5 linked regions of the Nothobranchius furzeri genome follow. The protein of the gene in region 4 purifies or fractionates together with the protein of the main gene of each other region. This does not show direct contact. Links are inferred from orthologs where the notes say so. Each region holds a gene or a part of one and is shown on either strand. Other genes may lie near its edges.

What was found.
Region 1: the proteins of sf3a3 (region 4) and snrpa1 purify together in Homo sapiens (affinity purification with mass spectrometry; 6 studies listed by BioGRID and IntAct, counting the BioPlex papers as one, with this or other methods). This does not show direct contact. The link is inferred for Nothobranchius furzeri from reciprocal best matches to the Homo sapiens genes SF3A3 and SNRPA1.
Region 2: the proteins of sf3a3 (region 4) and sf3b6 purify together in Homo sapiens (affinity purification with mass spectrometry; 3 studies listed by BioGRID and IntAct, with this or other methods). This does not show direct contact. The link is inferred for Nothobranchius furzeri from reciprocal best matches to the Homo sapiens genes SF3A3 and SF3B6.
Region 3: the proteins of sf3a3 (region 4) and phf5a purify together in Homo sapiens (affinity purification with mass spectrometry; 3 studies listed by BioGRID and IntAct, with this or other methods). This does not show direct contact. The link is inferred for Nothobranchius furzeri from reciprocal best matches to the Homo sapiens genes SF3A3 and PHF5A.
Region 5: the proteins of sf3a3 (region 4) and rbm17 purify together in Homo sapiens (affinity purification with mass spectrometry; 4 studies listed by BioGRID and IntAct, counting the BioPlex papers as one, with this or other methods). This does not show direct contact. The link is inferred for Nothobranchius furzeri from reciprocal best matches to the Homo sapiens genes SF3A3 and RBM17.

The regions. Positions count from the first base shown.
Region 1 is NC_091749.1:6,237,270-6,241,453, forward strand, and holds the start of snrpa1 (U2 small nuclear ribonucleoprotein A'), read right to left. Parts: upstream 2,808-4,184; 5' UTR 2,683-2,807; coding exon 2,601-2,682; intron 2,498-2,600; coding exon 2,350-2,497; intron 1-2,349. UniProt on the Homo sapiens protein: Involved in pre-mRNA splicing as component of the spliceosome. Associated with sn-RNP U2, where it contributes to the binding of stem loop IV of U2 snRNA.
Region 2 is NC_091742.1:17,814,877-17,819,147, forward strand, and holds the start of sf3b6 (splicing factor 3B subunit 6), read right to left. Parts: upstream 2,805-4,271; 5' UTR 2,686-2,804; coding exon 2,656-2,685; intron 2,198-2,655; coding exon 2,079-2,197; intron 1-2,078.
Region 3 is NC_091756.1:28,019,744-28,023,876, reverse strand, and holds phf5a (PHD finger-like domain-containing protein 5A), read right to left. Parts: upstream 2,805-4,133; 5' UTR 2,703-2,804; coding exon 2,651-2,702; intron 2,362-2,650; coding exon 2,338-2,361; intron 692-2,337; coding exon 525-691; intron 455-524; coding exon 365-454; 3' UTR 290-364; downstream 1-289. Other genes in the region: l3mbtl2 (lethal(3)malignant brain tumor-like protein 2), read right to left, coding at 3,743-3,975, 4,052-4,133.
Region 4 is NC_091751.1:25,496,961-25,501,067, reverse strand, and holds the start of sf3a3 (splicing factor 3A subunit 3), read right to left. Parts: upstream 2,805-4,107; 5' UTR 2,679-2,804; coding exon 2,583-2,678; intron 2,502-2,582; coding exon 2,454-2,501; intron 473-2,453; coding exon 420-472; intron 1-419. UniProt on the Homo sapiens protein: Component of the 17S U2 SnRNP complex of the spliceosome, a large ribonucleoprotein complex that removes introns from transcribed pre-mRNAs.
Region 5 is NC_091741.1:60,753,344-60,756,855, forward strand, and holds part of rbm17 (splicing factor 45), read right to left. Parts: intron 2,333-3,512; coding exon 2,282-2,332; intron 600-2,281; coding exon 464-599; intron 372-463; coding exon 220-371; intron 1-219. UniProt on the Homo sapiens protein: Splice factor that binds to the single-stranded 3'AG at the exon/intron border and promotes its utilization in the second catalytic step. Involved in the regulation of alternative splicing and the utilization of cryptic splice sites.

The sequences.
Region 1 (4,184 bases), on a different chromosome or scaffold from region 4:
TGTCAGAATGCGCTCAGTTACACCATCCCACAGATCCGGGTCCAGAAACTGTCTCGCCTGGGACTCTCCACCCCCATCTGGATTAAGGACTTCCTGACAAACAGACCAAAGTCTGTCAGACTCGGCCCCCACCTCTCCAGCACCGGCGCTCCACAAGGATGTGTTCGGAGTCCCCTCCCGTTTACACATCCGACTGCTCCCCGACCCATCTCTCAAACACCATCATTAAGTTTGTGGATGACACCACTGTGGTTGGACTCATCTCAAGGGGGGATGAGTGGGACTACAGAGATGAGGTCAACAGACTGACTGTGTGGTGTTCAGGAAACAACCTCCAACTGAACACCACAAAAACTGAAGAACTTATCTTGGACTTCAGGAAGGGCAGGGCCGACCCGGCCTTACTTTACATTCACGGGGACTGTGTGGAGAGGGTGCACTCCGTGAGCTTTCTGGGCGTGCAGATCTCTGATGATCTCTCCTGGACTGCAAACACCACAGCGGTGGTAAAAACTTCATGAGAGTGCTCAGAAGGAACGACCTGGAGGAGAGGCTGCTGGTCACATTCTACAGAGCCACCACAAAGGGCATCCAAGCGTACGGCATCACAACATGGTATGCAGGGTGCTCAGCTGCAGACAGGAAAGTACTGCAGAGGGTCATCAGCACAGCCCAGAAGACCACTGGATGCTCTCTGCCCAGCCTGAAGCACATTGCCAACTCTCATTACCCCAGTAGAGCAGGAACATCGAGGACTACTCTCACCCCAGTAACCATCTGTTTGACCCGTTACCGTCAGGCTGATGGTGCAGGTCACATAAAACCAGGGATAGCTTCTTTCCCAGAGCTACCAGAGTAGCAAACGACCACAAAACCAGATGAGCCTGTAAACCCGAGCCACACGTTTACTCTTACTATTAGTGTTTACTCAATATGCTAAAATTCTGCTTAACCTGCACAGAACCTGACTGATGCTGCTACTCTTTCTATACATTTGTAAATATTACTGTTGATTTTACGTTTATTTTATTCCGTATTATTTTACAAATTGCACCAAAGGGAGTGGCACTCCAATGTCGCTGTACAATAACAATAAAGTCTCTTCTATTCCCTAATACTTTTTTCTGGTCAGAATCGGCTCCTGTATGCTACTAGCCTTGTGTTTAAAACAAACCCAGTAAATGGATCGGGGCACCAGAAGATTTAAGGACGCTGGAGCAGAAACAGGTGATGAGGTAATTTCATAAAACCAACACTTCTGCTGCACTGAAGAGTCAGAGCAGCGTTTTTACCTTTAGCAGTGGTTTATTAAAGTCTTCAAGCAACCAGCCGAGATGACGCCGCAGCTCTTTCTACACATTTAATCAGACCACATCGATAACTTGTTAAGGATGACTGCACTATTCTGGAGTATTTTCACATACTTTCATGTTTGGTTTTCTGTGAATTACTCTCATATGACGATCCCTGATAACTTAATCATTTTGTCAGGGCTGGCTTTTCACTGAGCAGAGGGACCGTCTAAACCTCGTGGTAAAAAATTATTTTCATTTTGCAGAAACTCAAACTGATATTTCATTTTAAATATTTATTCCAAAAGATTACTTTAGCAGCAAAAAGTATGCAAATGTTGGAGCGGGTGACTACAGACCCCACTGATGCAGAGTCGTACCGTTCTACACGTCTTCCTGACAGCAGCTGCATCACACCGACGTCGTCTCAACTAAACGCAGATTACGCCAATGTTTTAATCTACAGCACATTGAAGAGTGACCAGCAAAAGGTCAGGCGGCCGTGACGCTGCTGCTTGCGTCTGACTCCTAATTAGTCTAGCAACATAAATGTCAAATTATTTAGTTCAATATAAGGAAGCTAAAGTGGTTTTTAAAAACGTGGCCTCCAGAATGCTCTTCTGAGTAATGGATGCCAGAGGTCTGACGGACATTTCAGCTGTCATCCCACTGTCTCTTTACTAGATCACAAATGTAACGGGTGTGGGACTCTAGTTGTGCCTCAGACTTATATATAAAGTGTTATTTATGAAGCAGGGGCAAATGATTGTGTTGAGGGGCATCAACACCCGGTTAAACAAATCTTGGAAAACCTGCATCCTAGTAAAACATCTGTTTAAATAAACAGTGTGTGTTCTTTACTGAAGGTAGTTAACTAAGGAGTAGCACAAGATGGCCAGTACGTTACTTAAAATACATTTTCTACATTTCCGATAATTACTGATATGGATCAACATGAAGTGTTCCCAGATCCTACTCGTCTCCATCATCCAGACCCTACCTGTGCAGCTCAGGGGCAGACCTGGACCATGGTGACACACAGAGCAGTGGGACTTACCAGACCCTGTTGTTGTTCATCAGCAGCGTCTTCAGCCTCTTTAGCAAAGGGAAGCCGTCCAGTTTTCTCACTTCATTATCAGAGAAATCTACAGTGTCAAACTGGTCCAGAGTAGCTCCGAGGTTTTCCACCACTGGGATCTTATAACCTAAAGATAAAGCAGAGCTAACACTGGTTAGCACACAAACACACACACACACACACACAACACTAACCTAGTCAGTTAGCCGTGGGTAAAGGCCCGAGTTTACCTCGTAAATCCAGCTCTCTGTCTCTCACAGGGTTGGTGTACTGAGCAGCCTGCTCAATCAGCTCCGCAGACAGCTTCACCATGTCGGACACGAACTTGGGCTTTTGTAACCTTTCTACAGCAAACTAAACAGTTTCACAGAGAGGTAAACGCTAACGTATTCCACGCTGCCGCCAGAACAAGAGCTTCTTCTACTTCCGGTTTGTCCGAGGACGAGTCAGTGGTAAATAGTGGTGCTACAGCGCCCCACCTGGAGTGGAGCTGGATCACTCATCAGTGCATAGGTAGGTGTTGAGTATATGGGATTAGATTTGTGCCAATAAGATGTTAAATTTAGTATATTTCCCAATAAAAAGTCCCTGTTAAGGAGCTGCAGCTCGTCTCCCTACTGGAGTTTCACAGTTTGGTAAAACTTCTCCAAGTTGGCAGACTGAGAAAATGCTGAAAAAAATCTAAGCTTTTGCTGCATTTATTTAAAGGAAAAGGTAACAGGGCTAAGTTGTTTAAATATGTGTGAATAGCCTAGCAGCAAATGAATAAAGCAGCAACCTGTAATTCCATGCTGTAGTTCTTTTTTAAACAGTTTTGTTTACCTGTTTTCCCGCTACATTTCGTTTGCAGCTGCAAACTTCCTCAGGCTGACGCTGATGGTGGCGTCACTTCCTTCTCTGTTTATCCGTGAGCAGCAGAGGATGTTGTCGCCCTCTGCTGCCCGCTCTCCCCTCTCCGACGATGCAGTCCCATGCGCGGTCCAACGTGTAAACTCCATCGTCCCTGTTCATGGTCCCACATCCACGTCACCTTATCTCGGTAGCTTCTTTTATTCATCTTTTGTATTTTTGTTGTTCGGTGTTTATGATCCTTGTGTTGTCCCAGTCCATTATATGGTTTTCTCTTGTGCAGTGATCTGTTACGGCTGACTTCTTTATTGTGATTTCTGCTTCTTCTTTTGCTGCTCTTGTGTGTTTTCGACTTGCCTCTTTCTCGCACTCCTTTCTATGTTCTATTGTTCGTGTGTTGAGTTGGCGTCCGGTTTCTCCTATGTATGTTTTATTGCAGAGTTTGCATGGGATTTTGTAAATGACTCCACATTTAAGTCCAGCTAGTATTTTGTCTTTTGGGTGTACTAGTCTGTTTCTAACTGTTGTGTATGGTTTTGTTGGTGTGTTTATGTTGTGTTTTTTCATTGTTGCTCTTATTTTTTCTGTTATGCCTTTAATGTATGGTAGGGTTATCACTGGTTTTGGTTCTTGGCTTTCTGGGTTGCTGGTTCTTTGCTTTGGTTGTTTTTTTCTTTCTGTTGTTGTTTGTTGTTTTCCTTTGTTTATTACCCATGTCGGGTATCCGCAGGTCTTTAAAGCATGTTGTATGTGTTTGTCCTCTTGTTTACGGTCTCTTTCTTCTGTTATTATGTTTGCTCGGTGATATAATGTTCTGATTACTGACATTTTGTATATGGTGGGGTGTTCTGATGTCCATAATAGATATTGGTCTGTGTGTGTTGGTTTCCTATATGTGTTAATGTTTAGGGTCCCTTACTCCCGTCCTCTGCTGCCCACGGATAAACGGAGAAGGAAGTGACGTC
Region 2 (4,271 bases), on a different chromosome or scaffold from region 4:
CACACTTTCTAAACTATTTGAATAATAAGGAATGAGACTATTACTAAACATATTTGTAGTAATAACATGTTTCTGATCAATATTCTTCCTGAATGGTTTCAGCAGCTCAACTGAGGAAATGACATGGAAACAGGAAGTTGTGTCTTTTTAAAAGACGAGTTTCTCTAGCCGTTTAGACAGATAACGTTTCTATTCCGTTCCAACTTACAAATAAATAATAAAAATACCTAAAATGGAAAACTTGGATGTTTTCTACTTTTTCCTTAATTTAATGGATTGCTGAAATATTGGATTGGGACTCTGTATCTAAATCACATGACACGGATTGAGGGAAAAAGATCATTTTTGACTTTTTTTTTTTTTTGGTACCACCTCACAGAATAACAGAAGGACGTGCTGGGTCCCAGACCCAAAGCAGGGCTCTCACACACGCGACTAGCATAAAAGTTTCAAAGTTAAAGTAGGTCTACTCCACACCGAAGCCAGAGGACACCGCCTGGATATTAGGAGGAGTCTGCTGCTCACACACCGGTGTTACAGAAAGGAGCCGACCCTCTTGAAGCAGCAGCAGCCATGTTTATTAAAGGTGAACTGATCGCTCTCTAGTTTTTGTTGTTAACAAAAATAACAAATTTTGTTTTTCCATCAAACTATCTTAGCTGATCCATCCATCCATTTCTGGCCGCTTATCCAGGGTCGGGTCACGGGGCAGCAGCCTAAGCAGGGAGGCACAGACTTCCCTCCACAGCTCCTGCAGGGGAATCCCAAGGTGTTCCCTGGTCAGCTGAGAGACGTAGTCCCTCCAGCGCATCCTGGGTCTTCCTTTAGGTTAGAGATGGGCGATATGGCTCAAAATCAATATCACGATATATTGAGGATTTCACCTCGATAACGATAAATGGACGATAACTACAGGTATGCGCAGTAGAGCTGTAGCGATGCATCGATGACGTCGACGGCTCGATTCTAAAAATTCGTCGACGTCAGATCCGGTGGTCGACGCACCACGCCCACTTGTTGCATCCCCAGGAGTTTGTAAATAGAGGTGGAACCTGCCTGTTTTTCCTCTAGTCCACCCTCTTCTCCGCCTTCACTAACATCTCCACCAAATACCGAAGACCCAGAACAATGTCCGTCCGCTACTAGATTCCTTTCCTGTTTTGCCCGCCTTCGTCTCCTGGCAACGGGCAACAACTTCCGGGGTCAGATGCGCAGCTCCGTCTCTACTGTGTAAAAAACTTCTAAACCGAGTTTCTGTTATGCTTCTCTAAACATTGGTTCATGGGAGTCTCTAACCTGCAATTTGCTCTTTAAGGGATTTGTCATGTAATTTGTGTCAACAAACCAATCAACTCCAGGCAGAAACAACGTCCATGAAGGTGGCTCCTTTTCTGTGTTCATCTCTTTTCAGGCTAAAGACCAAAGGTGACAGATCATCTGCTGCTGTGGCCCCTAGACTCTGGAGCTCTCTCCCTCTGAGCCTGAGATCAGTGGACTCGGTGGTCTCCTATGAAAAGCAGCTAAAAACTCACCAGTTCAAGCTGGCTTTGGTGTGACCTTCGTCACCACCCTCTCCCTATTCGGCTCTTTCTACGTATTCCGCCTTTCCCAGCAATCCACTCATTTCCCTCTTTCCTATTCATTTTCTCTCTCCCATTCCTTACATTATTATTTTTAATCACAATTTACTTATCTTCATTTTAAACATATTTTTAATCGTTTTTTGACATCTTTCTAGTTGTTTTGTTTGTGAAGCGCCTTGTGATTTTTATTTTGAGAGGCGCTACGTAAAAGATCGTTTTCTTTCTGTCTTTGCTGCTTTCTCTACGACTCTTAACTGTTACTTCAACGTGAGCTCTCTAAATACACTTAAACCTGTTTTACTTACATTTGTTTTATTTATGTTTACCGTGAAGCGATGTGTGGCTTTTATCCTGTGAAGGCTGCTTTAAATGCAGAGTTGGCTTTGTTACATAAAATTTTCTTTTACTCTGAAAATGACTTCATAATAACACACACACACACACACACACACACACACACACACACACACACACACACACTTTTTGAAAACTTACGTTCGGATCTGTCGTATTGGTCCGTATTTTCCAAAGATATCGTACATCTCCTCAGCTGTGATCTTATAGGGGAGATTCCTTATATACAGGATTCTGTTCACCTCAGGAGGTAATCGGATCTACAACACCATTAAAACACATCATTAAACTATTCAGAGGGAACAAAACTAACCTGGGTAAAAACTCAAATACCTGATACATAAGTACACACGATTACTAGCTGAGGCCTTTTAAGACTACGTAAGTCACTTAACAATAGACATGGCTACTTTTAATCATTACATGCATTAGCTTATCCTTGTTTCCGTACCGGAAGGAACAAATATTCTTAGCCTGACGATATCCCAACGAGGATTATGTCTTCACAAAACAAAAGATGAAAAAACACATGACCTCAAATGGTAAGTATAACTAAAGTGAATATAAAGCTTGAAGATTTCAGGTTTTGAGGACTGTTTTCAATTTGCTAACCTGCTAGTAGTGCGCTAATTCTTTGAGACGCTTCCTCAGAGCTAAACCTAGCTTACATTTCACATTAGCCTTTCCTTTGTCCCCTTATATGCTCCATTACACTTACATTAGCACGTTTTGCTGCTTGCATAGCCATCGTAACGATTTAATTCGTGTAAATAACGCAGATAAACAACAAACACGCTGTTTTCACTTCAAAATGGAGGCTACGGTAAAAATATATCGAACTTCCGGTTTGGAATTAGGCTACAGATACATCCTTATAACGGTGCTGCCCTCTAGCGGCGGACAAGAACCTCAACCAGCCTGGAACAATTATCCTAACTATAGAAAAATGACATTCTTACAGAAATGCTATTTGAATACTGGCTGCTGAGGCTGATAACTGAAGATGCATAAGAACTGAACAGAACCTATACTTAAGCTCAACTCAGTAAAAAAATCCCAGAGTTTCTTTCAATATAATGAATACGAATAAAATAACATTTAAAACTGTATAGCAAACAAGTGTTAGTGCACTTTTTTTAAAACATGAAAAAATATTTAGGCTAAAATGTTCTTCTCGCTCTTCATACCAGTTGGTTCCAGAATTGAAGGGAGCACTATTTCCATTCCATTTTATTTTTAAAGCACATTTTTACAGGGCCGAGGCCAACCAAAGTGCTGCACAGTAAATGAGCATAAAAATCAACACACTGGAAGAAGTAATAAAAGTAGTACAGTAACTACTATAAAATCAATAAAGACAAAACAAAAACATCGTAAAATGCTAGCTAGGCTGAAGTAAAAGCTAAGGAATAAAAATGAGCCGTCACTGCTAGAGACGAGGCGCACAGACTGAGAAGGCTCGTTCTCCTTGCGTCCTCACCCGAACTCTTGGGACCTGTAACAGGTCTGCTGACCAAAGAATTCGACCAGGTACGTAGGGCTGAACCAGCTGAGTCAAGTAGAGAGGAGCATAAAGATAGAGTTACTTAAAAACAAGAAGTAAAAATTTAAATTGGATGCGGTAGCACACCTGGAGACTATTCCCTATTCGAGTAATTTGAGCATCAATCAGGTTTTTTCAGCACCTTTAATTTTAATATTTATAAAAAACAAAACACTGATACTGCAACTAATTTTCCTCTGAAACCTCAGCAGACTTTTTAAAAGCCTTTTTTATGCACAAACGAAACAACTGAATTAGAAAAAGGGAAAAGAAAAAGGTTATTGCCATGGTAACGGATGTTGCAGCACTGGCTTATGCTGGGCTTCACTCAAACAGGCACTAAGGTGAAGCTTGGGAGATGAACATCACATCTGGTCTTCACCGAGGCCGTGACCAGGTGTAAATCACATGAACAATGCATCTTTAACACTGCTCTGACTCAACTCTGTCCCCTAAAGACTCTAACCCCCCCAGCAAGACCACGTGAAACACCTAAAAAAGGACACCTTGGTAAATGTGCACACTACATTCAGTAGGAAAACAGTCCTTTCTACCATCAGAAACCGCCTGCATAGCAGCAACATCAGGACCAAGTCCTTTCTAATGTCACGTTTTGAGGATGTTTAGGACACAAATATGCAGAAACCCAGGATGACACGAGGCTGGAGATGATGTAAAGTAAATATGCTTTATTTTGTAGAACGAACAAAAATAAATCCAAAGGCAGTGAGCCAAAAGTCCAAAAATCCAAAAACCCTGGTAACAAAAACAAAAGCTCACTGAGAGCACCA
Region 3 (4,133 bases), on a different chromosome or scaffold from region 4:
GCGCTATATAAACTTTAATTGAAGTGAAAATTTCCTAGCCATATTCCTGAAAAAGGGCGTGTCCTTTGACACGTTATAATAAATAGAAATGGTAAGAGAGAAGTGGGACTAGTAGACTGGGTTCACTCAGTTCTACAGCTTGCTGCTAAACGTTTACATGATCTAATAAGGTTTAATAAAACTAACAGGCTTAGGCTAATTTGAAAATGTTTAATGAAAAGATTTGAGTATTCCATCTGATTCATGTTCACCAATTATCTTTTCCAGTCACAAAACATGAAGACAGAAATAGAAAAAACATTTTATTAAGAAAAAGTTTTTGGAAAAAAAAAAAACGACTATGAACTCGGTGTTTCTCCTGTCTTCACCTCTTCTTGAAGCCGTACTTCTTCCTTTCATAGAACAGATCTGTCTTGGAGCTGCCCAGGTTTACGATCTTGGGACAGCCATCTCGCTGCAGAGAGGAACAAAATATTTAGAGACGTTCCTGCAGACACAGCTGGGCGTACGAGAGGAGGACTCACATCTTTCTCCTGGATGGTGCACTCTTTGCAGTAGTAAGCGTCAGACACGCCGGGACCTCCGCAGATCACACAGCGCCCCTGATAGGAGCCGTAGTTACACTCATCACAAATACGCACCAGCGTGCACGGTCGCACGTAAGAGTCGCAGATCACACACTTCCCATCACCTGGAAGAGGAAGAGAAACTAAGCTGGTGATGGGAACAATAATTATTTCTACATTTACTAATAAAGTGAAAGTGCTTCTGATCTTATTAGGTAACTGTAACAATCACAAGACTGACCCGCCGTCTCTTCTGTGAGTGTTTGGAACGTTAGGAAGAGTTTCAGTCACGTGTTTTTAAGTGTGAGTGGTTGTGAAACGAAGTGGGAGAGGAGCCAAAGCTGCACTGGAGGTGTTGGATAAGTGAAACCGGAGATCTGTTTAACTGCGACTTTTCCTATTCGACCTAATGGCTTCATTGACTTTTCTCAAAGCAAAATGTGGAAGTGACATCTTTCTCAGATTTAAATCTGAGCCTTGATCTGTGTGTACAGGTGCAGACTCTGCTCAGCTCGTGTCCTTCACCTAAACCAACTTCTGTCTCAGGGTCCCATCTGGACTCCAATGCACCAGAATGCCACGTTTGGAGTTTCTTTGATAATCCTGCAACATTTGCAATAACTTTAAAATTTTCCTGTCGGGTGCTTTTCCAGATTTTCTGGTTAAGTTGGCAAGTGTCCAGACAGGATGTCCACAGGTTTGAAAATTTCTGTTAACACATTCTTCTGTTGTCTCTTTTGTCCCAGCTGGGACACGCTGAACTCAGTGGATGGAGAAACTAGTTTTAGTGAAGTTCAGTGTTGAGAGTTTAACTTCTCTCAGACTAGTTTCAGTCTGGTGAACATCTTGGTTTGGGTTGTGACCTCGTTATTATTCCTCATGTCCAGCATGTACTGTCTAAAGGTGATTCATGTTTGCACGGTCTGTGTAGAAAATATGTTTTCTTCACTTACAGCCATACATCTGGACCCTGATTACTGTAAATGACCACCAGATTTTACCTGCATATGAGTCTGGGTCACGGGGGTTGCAGCCCCAGCAGAGATACCCAACCTTGCCTCTTTCTGAAGACCTCCTCCAGCAGGATCCCCAGGTGTGCCTTGCCCAAAGTGGAGGTACCTCCAATGTGTCGCAGGTCGACCTGGAGCCTCCTGCTGGCAGGACATGCCTGAAACGCTTCCCCTAGGTGGAGTCCAGGGGACATCCATACCAAATTCCCAACCCACCTCAGCTGGCTCCTCATCTTTAAAGACATCAGTCAGTCAAAAGCTCTGCCACGTGTAGCATATGATATATGCTGCCATCCCAATTTTGCATCATCACAGGATTCTGCCTCACTTTCAAGACCAATCCCAGTCTTTGTCCTCGATATCCAAAATCCTAACGATGACCTGCATATCTCCACCTCCACCCTAAGGCCTCGTCTTCCTTTTCCTTGTTGACACCTCAGATCATTTTCAAATTCTCTTATCTAAATTTATGTTTGATTATTTTAAAAATGCTGCTTAAATTTACATTGCATTGACTTTAAAATTCATTACGGATTTTACATTGGCATGGTTTTTTATAAGGTGGGTGTTTTTAAAGTGCCTATAAATAAAATCTAGAGGTTTAACAGCGTTTATGATGGTTGGTTCTTTTTAGCCGCCTTTACTCCAAGGAAATCAGCTAGATCTTTGGGTTAGAATTAGCCAAAAGCACAACGTTCTAGAGGAAAACCTATAACAGAAATAGACTTTACAGTAAACGTGTTAAAAGTGGAGACACTTACACTTCTCGCAAAGTCTCCCGATAGCTGCGGGAGGAAAACAGAACAGTCGTTCAATTAAACGTTTCAATTTTCAGGATAAACGATAAATTTGTACTTCTCTATGTTCAATACTCAGTTAAACGGGTTTAAAAACCATAAAATTGTTAGTGTCAACAGAGATGAAAACCGTAAAGACACGTCCAGCTCCGCTACTCATTTCAGTATTTATGCTAACAGTTAGCTTAGCAGCTAACACATGGCGCAAATCAAACGTGTTTCTGATATATCTGTGTAGTTTCAAAGGTACCGAACGACATAAAGTAAAGAAACATACCGACACCCGCTTGTTTTCGACAGAAGATCAAATCTGGGTGATGTTTAGCCATTTTCAGCTAACCAACGACGGCCGAACGTAATTCAGTTTTAACCTTTGACCGGCGTGCAAGTGTCGAGTTGAGTCGCTACCACCACCTAGTGCCTTCACCTTGTAACTACACTCTTAAAAAACGGGTTTCAAATAAACAAGGACATTGGGTGAAAATGCTGTCATTAGCCCAGAATTTAAACAAATTTCCAAGTTTTATGTTCACTAAAATTCTTTATCCCTCTGCTCCAGAGGTGATGCCTCATCCTGATACGAGCTGCAATGTCTCTGAGTTACCATAGAACAGCAGCAAAGTTAATAAAATTACAAAAATCCCTGGGTTGCTGACACTGTCTCAAAAGGTTCAACAACAAATAATGAAGAATAGGGAACATTTTTATCCAGGTCCATTTTATTATTTTCTTTTCAGTTGTTGTTTAACCACTAATCAAAAGCCAAGATGGATTTTCAGTATATATTTATTACTTTTGTCAGTTTCAAATCATTACAATGACCACTGTGAGTTCTTCTTTAACAGAATTATACCAACAAACATTAAAACAGTTAACTTGGCTAATATGACCAGCCAGTGAATTAGTCTAACTAGTGAAACAGGTCCACATTGCCATACCGGCTCCTGGTCTATGCAGCCAGGATCAGCCGGTTTTCATCTGTTCACCTACTGGTCTGACTCTTACTCCCGACTGGATATTTGCTCACAAAAACAAATCTGATAACGAAACAAAAACAATGACTTGATCACTAACAAAAGCTTTTGAGGAACTGGGTGTAGCTAGGGTGACCTTGGGGGAGGCGAGACAGTTCTGAACTCTCTTTTTGGGTCGGAGGGTCTGAGAGTTTATAAACAGCAGAGATTCATGAGACATAGCTCCAGCCGTCTTTTGATTCACATCTGTTACCATCTCAGAACGTCATCTACAGCAGCCGCTTATATCTCCATCGGTTCAGCTCCTCCTGCAGTGTCTTGTTGTGTTGTTTTCCCACATCTCTTCCATGCTCCTCCCATTTTCTGGCCTCCTTTTTTCTGGGGTTTGTCTTTTTTTAACTCCGCTCAGCTTGTCCTTTATGCTCGCCTCCATTTTCTGCTGTTTCTCTTTTCTCTGCGGTCTGATGGATCATGTCTGCCAGTGGGCTCTGCTCTGGCACCTGATGTCCCGACTGGATCATCTGCTCGGCCTTCTCTTGTTTCACTTCACACTGCGAGACTTTTTGAGGCTGGTCTGGGGGGTTGATAAGGGTCTCCATCTCCTCCACCTTCACCTGCACTCTAACGACTACAGAGACACAACCCAGTCACACAACAATGATCAAAAATGACCTTTAAACCAAATTTGAAGAGCCTTCACTTACTCTCTCTCTCCTCTGGTTCAGCCTTCAGCTGGACGAGCGGCGCCGCTGGACATCGGCTTTGAGAATCGTCAGTGGTCGTATT
Region 4 (4,107 bases):
GTAGCAGTGGGTGTGCGGGAGGCGGGATGTGATCCAAAATCACCTGAACACATTTCTAGGTAGAGTTAGATAAAGCAGGAATTGTGTACAGCTATATGTACGCAGTGTTTTATGGGTCCAATTTTTTATTTCTGCAAGTAAATTTTTTTAGTAAAGGATCCAAACAAAGTTTTATAAATAGAGCCATTGGACTTTAATATTTAATATATTTAATAAAAGAAGTAGCAACAAAAGCCGTGGAATGGGATACCAACGCTTCTGATAGGCCAGAATAAAAATGTAATTATATATTTAGATTTTTTTTACTGTCAGGAAAACAAACCTGAGTAAACAATGGGTAACAGAAAGAGACAACAGCTTAACTCTAACAAGCAAAAAAAAAAAGTACATTGAATATATTTAAAAAAATTAAAACGTACCCATCTTTGTCTTCATAAGAGTCCCTGAGATTTGCACTCACTTCCATATACCTCTGTGAGGAGACACAGAACATGACAACAGATGACATTAAACTAGCCAACACTGACTCACTGTTAGATCATCATGGTAATAGACTTGGCTCTAAATTACCATGGTAACACATAGCTTGACAACACCTAGCTCTAGAATACTATTTAAAGTGAGGGTCAATGCCTGGTTGGAGACGCATTTCATCCACATTTCCTGTTAGAAAAACGCTTCTGAAAGAGGCGTCACCTGGCGAACCGGGAGAGCGGCACTGAGGCAGTGGTAGACCGCACCCCCCTCAACCCCTCCGCGTGTGCTGTCGGAGTTTCTCAATCTAAAAACGAGTTGTTAACTAGCGCAGGCACACTCGCGCGTGCATGCAAGCATGCACTCACACAAGACTTACCGCTCAGGAAAAAAAAAGCAGACACAGATTCTGCAGCATTCTGGAGGATTTCCTTTTAACCACGATCATTAGATGAAAAGGGGAGGAGGGCATTACGCACATAGGGGTTGGGGCGCTCCGAGCACCCCAACCCCTATGTGCATAATGCCCTCCGGATCTAAGACTTTGGGTTAAGCTGTGTGTGAGATCAGTTGACAAATTCTGCTTCTTAGAATCTCCAGGTAGAAATATCAGACTGATTCAGATGTCATCATAGTTCTGTTAGATCTGAGAAGATCTAAATAAACATCAGATTGTTAAATAAAGCACATTACCTTTAGAAGCAACCAGCACACTGCACTGAGCTGATCAAGTATTTTATTCAACCACGACATACGCTTTCATTCAGGATCATGTTTAAATGTGATTCTTAAAATTATTTAAAACATTTTAAAAATCAACCTATGGAGGTCTGATCCCACCAAAATTGACAATAACTGGTTATAAAATTGAAAGTACATATAGAAATACATGATGCAATTATTAGGTGGGCTATTAGTATGAGTGTCTGCCCTGGGACTGGGATATCGGGATTCAAATCCACGGTCGAGTCACACCTAAGATTCGAAAAACAGGAACCAATGCCTCCTTGCTTGGCACTAAGCTTTAAAGGGTTGGATCGGGGGTTAAACCACCAAATAGCTCCCGAGTGCTGCCGTGTCTCCAACAACCTTTGGAGGACTGCCGGGGGTGGGTCAAATGCAGAGAACAATGTCACACATCAGTGTGACAACTAGTGGGACTTTAACTTTAATTCACCTCATCACCATATACCACAGGAAGTGTGAGGAATATAAATGAAGAAATGTATTAAAAAAATAGATGTGGAAATTAATAATTGTATTCATTTAACTCCAAGTGTGTTATCTTCAATTGTATTTCCTCATTTATTGAATTACTTTTTTTTTTTGCCCTTTCTTAATTTAATGTAAGCGTTGGCAGGATCAATCCTCCCTCTGTACCACCTGTTGGGTTTTGTGTATGAAGTCTGGATGTGTCAGTAAAGCCCTCTGGTTTCACTGCATTTTAATGAGGAGAACTTCAGATTAAAAGAGCAGCAGTGATCAACCTGAGGTTTTGATTTACTTCTCTAAACGTTTGGATACTATTAGTGAAAATTCAGTGAAAGTCCCCTGCGATGGGCTGGCACTCTGTCCAGGGTGTACCCCGCCTGATTGCCCATTGACCGCTGGAGATGGGCACCAGTCCCCCCCCCCCCGCGACCCTACGTGGCCAAGCGGGTTCAGACGATGGATGGATGGATGGTGAAAATTCACCAAAGTTACACTAAAAGTGAATGACGACCAAGGCAGGAACCAAGCATTACAGGTAACTCAATAAAAATAAAAGCAACTTTACCCAACAACAAATAAGCTTTATTTTCTGATATAACTTCTATATTACATTTAACAAATCAGAACAACATCGATTGCAATGATTCATAAAATTCAGATCTTAAGCACAATGATTGTTATTGACTCTATTACTTAACACGACGGAAAAAACTACACCACCAAACAACATTTAGCTCACTGGTGGAAGAGCAGCATTTCATACTTACATCCAACATGGCTCTTATTCGATGATCACAATTAATTTGATCCCGCAGCTGAAACAAGAGTCGAAAACAAATACGTGAACATTGCGTTGGTGTTAGCAACATGCTAATGCTAAAAGCTGCGCTGCTTACCGTGGTCTTTTTGTGCAACATTTCTTTAGTTTTTGCGTCCATCAGCCTCTCTTTCTCTTCGTGGTAGCGACGCTGTTGTTCCAAAATCGACTCCATCGTTTACAAAATGCTCAAGAGTTTAATGAAGACTGTTCAGGGTTGCTGCTGAAGCGTTAGCACAGCGCAGTATGGTACGTTGACCAAAGGCGTCTGTTCAGGAGTTACTGTCCGCTTCAGTACGGCTAGGAAAACATTTCCCAATTATTAGTTCCGCTGTGGTCACACAAACGTCCATAACGGTGACAGTACGGGATTCCTACAAGTGGACAAATTAGCATATATTTTATTTTTATATTATTAGAATTTTATGAAAGTTTTAAAATTATTATTTGCTGTCCATCCAGACCGATCCAGACGTGAGAGTTTGTGAATAATTCGACTGCGGACGGTTTTATGGATCAAAATAGAAATTTTCGTTCACGTGAGCTGTTTGAGGTTATTTTATTGTGAGCTATTTCTAATCACATCTCATCAAAGCCTGCAAAATCAGGACACACACACTATCCCAGCGCACACGCGGTGGAGCGCACTTACCACAGACCGGAAGTGTTGGCGCTTATAACTTGTTTCTTAGGTGCAAATGATAAATCATTCTCAAATGTAATACAACAATTTACGATGCATTCCACTGTCAGAGCTGTGTATAGTAATGTGACAGGATGTGATAAAACTAAAGTAGAAATGATATCCAACATTTTTATGATTCTCAGAGGTCTGATCCCATGTCATATATATATATATATATATATATATATATATATATATATATATATATATATATATATATATATATATATATATATATATATATTCCTTTTTATCTTTATAATTACCGCCAGAGCTTTTATTTTGGCAGTCAACACCGGAAACTCCACAGTAACAGTCGCTGCCTTGACAGTGGCGTTCTGGCTTCGGTACGTTCTCCAGCAGCAGCAAGTCAAAGCACCGGGCAGCCAGTGTTTGGGTTTTGTGGACTACAGGGACTTTGGGAACCGTTTTCTCCGCCGCGGTGCGTCCAGCCTGTTCAGGAAGGTGAGCAGCCAGTTTTCCACGGTGACAACACTCGCTTGCTGTAATGGATTTGAGGCGCTGAGGCGTTATCTGCGGAAGGGGGGGGGCGGTCGTTGTCGTTGTGGAGACGAGGTGTGGGGGGGTGGGGGGTATCCATTCTGTCTTTGTGCTACTGGGGCAGACCTGGCAGAGGTCAGTGGCAGACCCGCTACCAGAGGGCTGCTCCTGGTTAGCTGCAGCATCTTCCGACATCTACATGCTTGATGCTAACTCTTCATTTATCCAACAAAACAGGCGGAGCGGACCGGGTCGGAACGAGCCCGTGGGCTCCCCCGAACTCTCCGAACATTTAAACCCACTTCTCCGAGGTGTTGAGGGTTTTTAAAAACATCAGAAAGTTTCCTCAGCCCGGAGTAGCTCACCACGCTACAATAGAGTTCTTTCACAAACCAGGAGCAGCAGACTGATGAAACAT
Region 5 (3,512 bases), on a different chromosome or scaffold from region 4:
CAATGAAACACACATACACTAAGTCACTGGAAAATAACGGCTCGATATCAAAATAAGACACAAATGAACACAGTTCATGACAACAAGCTGGTATCAGCTGACAGAACAAGCTGAAGTAGGTTTTCAAGTAGCTGACCCATGAAGATTATTTAAAGCAGACGGTGTTGAAAAAGCAAAAAAAGGTAGGATCAAGAGCAGAAATACGCTAACGCGACTTACGTTTTTCTGCAGCGTCGCCCACAATGATCTTCCCGCCCCTTTTGCTGGTCTTCTCCACAGACAGGGCCGTGCTCAGGCCTTGCTCGTGCTTCCCCAGACCCTGACCTTCTTTGAAGCCGTACTTCTGCATGATCTTATGGGCCACCGTACCTCTGTTTGAAGTACACCATTAAGGCAATTTTAGTTTTTTTTTTTCCTTCTACTAGAAGTGTTTTAAAAGTTTAAACTCAAATGGCTGACCCACCCCATGTTTGCCAGGAAGGAGCTACTTGGTAAAGGAGGCGAACGGGGCCGATCGGAGTCTTCATACATGGGTGGAGGAATGGCTGCCTTGGAGCCTCTGGCAGGACGACCTTCATCTTCATAAGTATACGAAGAACCTAAACAGTTTATAAAGACACAATTATTCCCTTTGATAAGGAGAATTCTAACATGTTTGTTTAATGAAAATGATGATGTAAAATCATTAAAAAAAATACATCTGTTTTACAGGTCTTTATTTCTAGGCCAATGCTGCCCTCTGCTGGACGACTGCTGCATTAACTGAGGCAGCGTTTGGTCTGGATTCATCTCTCATTTGGATCAATTTGACCCTGGTTTCAGATTAGAAAACTAGATATGAAATCTAGTTTGTACTTTTGCACTTTACATTCAAACATTCAGCCTTTTTAGTCCATACAAATTCTGCTGATTTCAGAAGATAAATGTTGACAAAACCATCAATATCAGTAAATAACAGTTTTCGGCCATACAGCAATATTGTTAACGGATATCGACTTCTTTGTTTGCTCTCCAAGAAACCAAAGAAGTCCAGTTGCCTTCATTTGAAACCTTTGGATTACCATGATCTGGATGACTGAGAACCTTCACCAGCACATATTTAAAAACTGGAGCTCATTAATTAGGCCATCATTTATTTAAGTCAGGTAGTCCAAATGACAGCAGGGAGGCTCGCTAGATGTTGCACACATAGGCAGTGGGTATTATTTTACTCCAACAATCTGAATAGCTGTGTACATGCACGTCAACGGGAATGATGATAGAACAAAGCTACCTCCTCATCTGTGCCCCAGGCAAGCTGGTTCCCAAAGTCAGAGACTCTCTTGGTCAGCTTGCTTCCCACACCAAACCTTCTGTCAGGAATCTTGGCGTGACCTTTGACCCAGCTCTCACCCTGGATTCTCATGTCAGTTCTCTTGTTCACTCTTCCTTCTTCCATCTCAGGAACATTGCTAAGCTGAGTCCCATTCTGTCCTGCTCAGAACTTGAGACTGTCATTTACACCTTCCTCTCCTCACGCTTAGACTACTGTAACTCTCTTTTCACGTGTCTGAGCAGAACCTCCCTGAACCGTCTACAGGTGGTTCAGAATGCCTGTGCTCGGCTTCTGACCAAGTCCTCCAAACACACCCACATCACCCCACTTCTCCTCCAGCTTCACTGGCTGCCAGTCAACTTCAGGGTTCATTTCAAGATCCTGGTTCTGGTCTATAGGGCCTTACATGGACAAGCACCATCTTACATTGGTGATCTTCTTAGTCCCTACACCCCCAGCAGGTCCCTGAGGTCCAGTGACCAAAGCCTACTGGTTGTGCAGCACCAGGCTAAAGACCAAAGGTGACAGATCATTTGCTGCTGTGGCCCCCAGACTCTGGAACTCTCTCCCCCTGAGCCTGAGATCAGTGGACTCAGTGGTCTCCTTTAAAAAGCAGCTGAATACTCACTTGTTCAAGCTGGCTTTTGTATGACCTTCTTCACCACTCTCTCTTTATTCTGCTCTCCCCACCTACCGTATTCCACCTTCCTCGAGATTCACTGATTTCCCTCTTTCCTATTCACTCTCTCTTTCTTTACATAGTTTCTTTTAAATCCCAATTGTCTATTTTTGCTTATTTTAAACATATTTTGAATCAGTTTCTAAATTATTTTTTTATATTTTAAATTTTTTGTTTTTGTGAATCGCCTCGTGATTTTTGAGAGGCGCTATAGAAAAGATCGTTTCTTCTTCTTCAGGGCAGATCCCTGATGCTGGTAATGGTCCAACCCTATTCATTATACTTACCGTCTTTGTCTACAAGTGATGAAGGAGGGGCGATGGCTGCTCCACCCATACCTGACATGAAAAGAAAAAGTATGAAAATAACATACAACTAAGGATAATTTAGCACAACACCAGGGCACTCAGTGATCCTGTCATATCAGTGTAATACTTTGATTAACTGCAGTAAGAATACCACCAGACAAGCCGAAAAACTGTTTAAAACGGATGAAGCAACAAATGTTTGTTAACAAATCAATTGTTGTTGTTACAGCTGTGATAAGTGTGTGTGTGTGTGTGTGTGTGTGTGTGTGTGTGTGTGTGTGTGTGTGTGTGTGTGTGTGTGTGTAGTGTGTGCGTGCGTGCGTGCGTGCGTGTGCGTGTGTGTGTGTGTGTGTCTCCAACATATTGTTTTCTTACATTAGCCTCATTCCAGATGCAAGTCACTTTGGACAAAAGCATCTGCTAAAATTATAAACATAAAGAAACAGGAGAGGTTTTTTGGTGGTTTTCTTATGATAAAAGCTCTGATAACAAAGTCTGATTTGATTTGATTTGGAAGAAACATTTTTAATAATTTTGTTCAGGAGAAATGATTAAAAATGTACAAACTTCAGTTCTGTCTTTAGGCAAATAGAAAGAACTAATTATATTGCTGTAAAAATGACCCTGGTTCTGGTTTAGAAATATACCAGAATGTCCGTTCTTTATTTTTCTGTTAATTTGCAAAAAGTAGTTCATATGAGAAAAATGAAGCATAAGGTTGCATTCATAGGTTTTTAAAAGGATCAAAAACAAAACTCCATCAGATTATTTGGGACCGAAATGTGGTCCAATAACAACAACTTGCTTTTCCTTCAAATCCTGAACCATTCTTTATTTTGAGAATAACTTCTGTTACTAAAACAATCATATGTTGCTGCCTTAAAATCAAGTGAATCCCCAAACAAGTGAAAAAACACCTGCTTTTACAGTAGTTTGTCTCAAATATGTAGAAAAATATTAATGTACTGACAGTTTTAGCAGGAACCAGCTGCGTAAATCAAGTAGAAGAAAACAAAGCTCCTGGGTAAAAAGTGGAATATTCAAGTAAAATCCAAAATAATTAACCAATTCTGGTGCTGGAATAATTACTGATTAACACCAGGTTGTTAGACTTGGGCGGTATTACCGTATACAGCCGGTGTTAAAAAAATAGCAACAGTGTCAGTTCCAATACTGTCATGAAAAAAACAGTGATTAAAAATAAAAAAGA